Danio rerio: one gene and its partner. The protein of the gene in region 1 binds, or shares a complex with, the protein of each later gene. Links are inferred from orthologs where the notes say so. Each region holds a gene or a part of one and is shown on either strand. Other genes may lie near its edges.

Region 1 (3,268 bases):
TTACTGATTTGTTTTATCTTTGCTGTGATGACAGTGCATAACATTTTACTAGATGTTTTTTAGAATACAAGCATTCAGATTAAAGTGCAGTTCAAAGGCTTAATCAGAGTAATGAGACAAGTCATTGTATAACAGTAGATTCTTCTGCAGACAATCAAACATATATTGCTTAAGGGGGCTAATAATATTGACCTTAAAATGGGTTTCAAAATATTTAAACCTGCTTTTTTTCAAGCTAAAATAAAAAAATAAGCCTTTCTCCATAAGAAAAAAAATATTAGAGGAAATACTGTTAAAATTCCTTGCTCTGTTTAACATAATTTGGGAAATAGTTATTTAAAAAAACTAAATTCCCAGGAGCGCTAATAATTTTCACTTCAACTGATAATCGTTTAAAATAATCGTGATTATGATTTTTTTCAAAATCGAGCAGCCCTACCATGAGATACGTGATCCGTTACACCACAAATATATATATATATATAAAATAAATAATGTATATCCTGTAAATGTGGCTGAAATTCCACCAATCATTCTCAGAGATGTTCTGAAGAGCTGCTTTGAAACGTTGTTTATTGAGAAAATATACACAAATGAAATGGAGTTACTGAGCGCCGTTAATAAAGGATTCAGCTCAGACACTCTCAGAGTTACTGAAAGCCATATTCCCAAATACTGAATCTGCAGAGTTTTGGTTGAGCGAATATGAAAACGCTGAGTCAGTGATGAGCCATGACTACAGGAGTCGTCATCATCATACCTCAGTCATCAGTGAATGCTCGTCTTCATGGAGATTTAGCACAGTCAGGCTGTTTCTGCACGACTCCTGCACATAAATAAAAAGCATAAAGCAGATCAGTTCAGCGGTGTGTGTGTTCAGGAAGCGCTCCATCATTTGCTGGTCTTGCCCTCGGCCGGCGTCTCTCCGTTGTCGAGTGTCTTGAGGAGCCGGAACAGCCCTGCGGCCTCACGGATGCGGCTGAACTCGATGCAGAAGGCCTGAACCTCGATGAACAGATCCTGAACGTTGATGATCTTATTGCGGATCAGAGACTGCAGGAACACACAGACCAGACGCACCAGACGGTTCTGCAGGACACACAAGCACAACAATATTCAGACACGCGCACACACACATACTCATATACATGCACACATATGCACACATATACATATGCACACACACACATACACTACTGGTCTAAAGTTTGGCATTTATTTAATCAATAATACAGAACAGATGGTAAAATAGTGAAATGTTATTGCATAATAAAATAAAGAAGTGCTCAACAGTGGTTTATCATTTAATTTAATCATATATTCCAGTGATTTAATGATGATTTTTTAGCTAGTCTTCAGAGTCACATGATCCTTCACAAGTCACTCTGATATTAATCATTATTACTGTTATTATTATAATATTATTATTATTATTATTATTAGGGGTGTAACGATTTATCGTTGTACGATTTATTGCGATGCAAAAATGTCTCGATATGCATGGTGGCGTTATGACGATTAGATTACGATATGACGTCCGTTTTCTCTTATTAGTTGAGCTGTTTGCACGTGAGCTACGTTCCACCTGCTGTCGCACGTGAGTTCAGATTGCAGCAGCAGTAATGTTAGCAGACCAAGATGAGTGGAGTTGAAATAGAGGATGGCCCATCCTCTCAAAATCAGACGTCTGGCAACATTTCGGTTGTACAGTCATTGCTTTAGACTCGTCCGCTTTTTGACACGCATACTGGGTCAAACATCCTAAGTTTTAAAGTCTTCACAGTGATTTACATACTTTGCACAGCGACAGGGATACCTCCTAATGGTGTTGAAAGAGTCACATACTGTATTTATAAGGTACAATTCACCCTAAAATATCATTCTGTCTTCATATAATGTTCCCGCCGCAAAATCACACATGACGTGAGCTGACCGTGAGTTACTACAGAGGGCGGACTGATAGACGCGCGCGTATGGCAAGCAGTTTTAGCATTTAAACCTTTGTTCTGACTATCCATAAATATATTTAGAGATATCTCTAATTATATTTTGACTAGTCATAATTATAATTCGACTAGTCAGAATGACAATTAGAGATATCTGCAATTACAATTGTACTAGTACGAAATCAGATTGGAGATATCTGCAAATATATTATGACTAGTCATATTCCTCCATTGAAAAATATTTTCAGATATCTCTAAATGAGTTTTGATTAGTCACAATTGTAATTAGAGATATCTCTAAATGAATTTAATTAAATATGAATTAATACCTGGAAATGTGGATTTTCATTGCACACACAAAAAACGAAAGTGACCAAGTAAAGCCTTAAGCTCTTACTGTTAAATTCAATTGAATAGAAAGCTTATTTTTTTTGCACCTTTACTTAAATTGTTCCTTAATTTTGTCTCTGTCATTTCAATAATATTTTTTAAGAAGTTTTTTAATTGTTTTATTTTCCAGAGACAGGCCTGTTTCATTTATTTTCTTAAAGAAGGTTCAGTTTAACAAGTTGAAACAAAAGAAATACATAAAAATAGTTTACTTGGTAAAATTTGCATTTCAGTTTAATTTTCAATTTTTATTCCAAATATCGTGATACATATCGAATCGTGAACATTATATCGTGATACATATCGAATCGTGAACATTATATTGTGATACACATCGTATCGTGAGCTGAGTGTATCGTTACACCCCTAATTATTATTATTAATGGTAATAGTAATAAATGCAATAATGAATGGGGTAATAATTTCATTTGAAACTACATACAGTAAGAAAGCAGTTATTTAAAATTGTAATAAGTATTTAACAATTTAACATTTTGTTTACGTGTACGTGATGAACAGAATCATTATTATTTAAATTAATAATCAATAATAATCAACAATTAATCAATCAAATCAATAATAATTTTAGAACAGTGGTTCTCAAACTGTGGTACGTGTGGTACGCAGGCTTTCTTCTAGTGGTACGCGGAGGAATGAAATATGTCATGTACATGCTACACACATTACAAAATTGATCAAAAATGATGTATATATTATGCCATGTATGACATATAGCCTATATTTCTGAGGTAATCTGCCACGTTTTTTAACTGTGCAGAGTTGTAGCTGCTTTACTGTACCTACTGCGCTACTGTATTTCAATGCTGCTCATTTTGGTGGTACTTGGAGAGACAATTGTTTTCTGAGGTGGTACTTGATGAAAAACCGTTTGAGAACCACTGTTTTAGATCATTACCCCAAACCTTTGACCG
Region 2 (3,665 bases), on another chromosome or scaffold:
GTACTCATTCATGTGTGATCATATTTCTCAATTTACTTAGAACATCGGGACAAATGTTTAATTCCAGAAATTGTAAATAAATCTGAACAAAATATGAACCAATTTTCAAAAATGCTTAATCGTAAAATAAAATGCAAAATGTAAACATTGCACTTTCAAGATTACACCTTTCTCATGCTGCTAGTCATGTGTCCGTGTCCAATCCCGTAATGGTGTGTATTATTGCACTCATATCAACTATAAAAAAAATTACTAAAAGCAATGTATTTTTTGACATCACAAAATAAACAGTAGAGCATAATATGAAACTATATACTTTTTATTTTGTCCACATATACACTACCTGACAAAAGTCTTGTCGTTGATTCCAGTTGTAAGAGCAACTAGAGCAATTTCTAGTTGATCATTTGTAAAAGTGGCAGAAGGTAGATTTTTCCGATGAATTATCTGTTGAACAGCATCTCGATCTTCACATATACTACAGAAGACTTATTGGAACCTGAATATAGTCCAGATTCTCACAGGTATCAGTAAAGTTTGGTGAAGAAAAAATTACGGTTTGGGGTTACATTCAGTATGTGGGTGTGCGAGAGATCTGCAGAGTGGATGGCAACATCAACAGCCTGAGGTATCAAGACATTTGTGCTGCCCATTGCTTTACAATTCTTCAGCAGGATCACTCCTTCTCATACTTCAGCCTCCACATCAAAGTTCCTGAAAGCAAAGACGGTCAAGGTGCTCCAGGATTGGCCAGCCCAGTCACCAGACATGAACATTATTGAGCATGTCTGGGGTAAGATGAAGGAGAAGGCATTGAAGATAAATCCAAAGAATCTTGATAAACCTGAGTCCTGCAAGAACGCTTTCTTTGCGATTTCAGATGACTTTCTTAAGTTATTTGAGTCATTGCAGAGATGTGTGGATGAAGTCCTCTAAGCTCATGGGAGTCATACACAATATTAATTCTTTTCCACTGCACCATGACTTTATATTCTATACTGTACAATATTTCTGTAAGTTTTGTCTAAGCAAAGTCAGACCTTACTGTCCTAATTAAATAATTAAAAGTTAGGGGTGATCGTATTTTATTTTGGTAAAATGAGCGTAATCTAGAGGCCTTTGCCTTTCATTTAAGCCACTTGAACTACTAGAAATCAAGTTATTATTTGTTTTTCCTAAAACTTGGATAAGCGACATGACTTTTGCCAGGTAGTTTATATACAGTTGAAATCAAAATTATTAGCCCCCTGTTAATTATTTTTCTTTGTCAAATATTTCCCAAATGATGTTTAACAGAGCACGGAATATTTCACAGTATTTCCTATAATATTATTTTCTTCTAGAAAAAGTCTTATTTGTTTTATTTCAAAGCAGCTGATTTTTAAAAATCCATTTTAAAGTCAATATTATTATAAGCCCCCTTAAGAATTTTTTTTTTGACAGTCTACAGAACAAATCACTGTTATACAATGATTACCCTAACTCACGAAATAACCTTTAATAAGCATTTAAATTGCACTTTAAGCTGGATGGTAGTGTCTTAATAAATATCTAGTAGAATATTAAGTACTGTTATCATGGCAAAGATAAAATAAATCAGCTGTTAGAAATACACTGTTAAAACTATTCATTCATTCATTTTCTTGACGTCCCTTAGTCACTTTATTAATCCGGGGTCGCCACAGCGGAATGAACCGCCCACTTATCCGGCAAATTTTTTTTTACGCAGCGGATGCCTTTCCAGCCGCAACCCATCTCTGGAAAACACCCACACACACATTCACACACACACTCATACACTACGGACAATTTAGCCTAACCAATTCACCTGTACCGCATGTCTTTGGACTGTGGGGGAAACCGGAGCACCTGGAGGAAACCCACACGAAGGCAGGGAGAACATGCAAACTCCACACAGAAACGCCAACCGAGCCGAGGTTCGAACCAGCGACCCAGCGACCTTCTTGCTGTGAGGCGACAGCACTACCTACTGAGCCACTGCCTCGCCTGTTAAAACTATTATGCTTTGAAAGAAAAACTCTATGTTAAATAGAAATTGTAGAAGAAAATATACAGGGAGGGATAATAAGAAAGCAGGGCTAATAATTCTGACTTCAACTGTATATATCATCATACTGCACAGGCCTAGATTTCTGTATGTAAATGTTACAGTGAGATTACCTATGGAATGAGAGCCATTTGACCCCTTCACAAAGCACCACACCTGAGGTCATGAGCAGCTCAGCAAAATACATTGTCTCAATACCCTCCTCCTCATGCTTCTTAAACTGGATACCCGACGACGTGAGCAGCTCTATGGAGTCCTGTGCATACATGTCTTCCCTGAAAAACACAGGCCAGCTATCAGAAGGTATCACACAGATACACCTGAAGACAAGGAAAGTCATCCTTGTCATCTCTCTTTAAAACACGATGCTCTGATAAAAAAAAAAAAAAAGAGCGTTATACAAAGTGCAATTCTTACGTGAGGTTAAATTTAAAGTTGAACTGCCATGTCGATGTCCCTGGTGGGTATTCGCCCTGTTCGTTCATAAATGTAAGGCCAAGCTGGATGATCTTTAACAAGTCCACGTTACACCGCAGCAGCTGGTACTGGTAATCTGCATTGCTTCGAAATTCTCCGATTGGTCTCGCTACTACACCTGGAAACTCTGTGTCCTACAGATGCAACAAAACGCATGATGGTTGTCATGGGGATTTGCATATTTATAGTCGAGGTTATAGTTAAATACAAAAAGGGGCTTTGCTGGGGATTTTTCAAAATATTAATCTTTATTAAGAAGCCTTTGAGGCTAATATAAGAAAAAAAAATTGCTTTTAGATTTTTTATTCAAGTTATTTAGTTTTATTTTTAATAAGCTTGTGCTTCATCCCACTCCCCTTTGAATTATATTTTAAGTGTATATGCATAAGTAAATATTTTTGTTGATTATGATTTATTATAGTATGGTATTTTTTGAAGAATTGTTTTAAATATGTGATATTCAGTTTAAAAATACATGATAGAATCAAATAAATAAAAATTTAAAACTCCTTTAATGAAAACTTTTGTAATTTTTTTATTTTAATAAATGTTTATCTAAAAATATATTAAAATTGTTTGCATTTTTTTCATAGATTTAGTTTGTTAGCAATAATATTAGAACCAAAGTTTAGCCTTCATGATGTATTGTCATTTACAAAGAGCAGTAGCATCTACAGCTGTCTATCTATCTATCTATCTATCTATCTATCTATCTATCTATCTATCTATCTATCTATCTATCTATCTATCTATCCATCCATCCATCCATCCATCCATCCATCCATCCATCCATCCATCCATCCATCCATCCATATATATATATATATATATATATATATATATATATATATATATATATATATATATATATATATATATATATATATATATATATATATATAATATAATAGTAATTAAATAGTATAATGCTGTATAATGACAAATACATATGATAGTAAAATCACCAGCAGGTGGCAGCAAGTAAAGGTTCACTGAGTTGTTCGATTAAGCCAGGGGTTCCCAAACATTTCAGCCGGCGACCCCCAAAATAGCAATTCCAGTGACTTGCGAAACCCACTACCTTATTTTTTTTTAATCCTTTTATTCCTATTTTTTTTTA

What was found. Proteins that work in one complex are often made in the same cells at the same time.
Region 2: cnot11 (region 1) and cnot7 share a complex: the UniProt entries of both Homo sapiens proteins name them as parts of the CCR4-NOT complex. The link is inferred for Danio rerio from reciprocal best matches to the Homo sapiens genes CNOT11 and CNOT7.

What each region holds. Positions count from the first base shown.
Region 1 is NC_133184.1:58,597,275-58,600,542, reverse strand, and holds the end of cnot11 (CCR4-NOT transcription complex subunit 11), read right to left. Parts: coding exon of another isoform or gene 3,253-3,268; intron 2,942-3,252; coding exon of another isoform or gene 2,897-2,941; exon of another isoform or gene 1,443-2,896; intron 1,090-1,442; coding exon 892-1,089; 3' UTR 557-891; downstream 1-556. UniProt on the Homo sapiens protein: Component of the CCR4-NOT complex which is one of the major cellular mRNA deadenylases and is linked to various cellular processes including bulk mRNA degradation, miRNA-mediated repression, translational repression during translational initiation and general transcription regulation.
Region 2 is NC_133189.1:34,922,505-34,926,169, reverse strand, and holds part of cnot7 (CCR4-NOT transcription complex subunit 7), read right to left. Parts: intron 2,680-3,665; coding exon 2,486-2,679; intron 2,389-2,485; coding exon of another isoform or gene 2,344-2,388; coding exon 2,182-2,343; intron 1-2,181. UniProt on the Homo sapiens protein: Has 3'-5' poly(A) exoribonuclease activity for synthetic poly(A) RNA substrate. Its function seems to be partially redundant with that of CNOT8.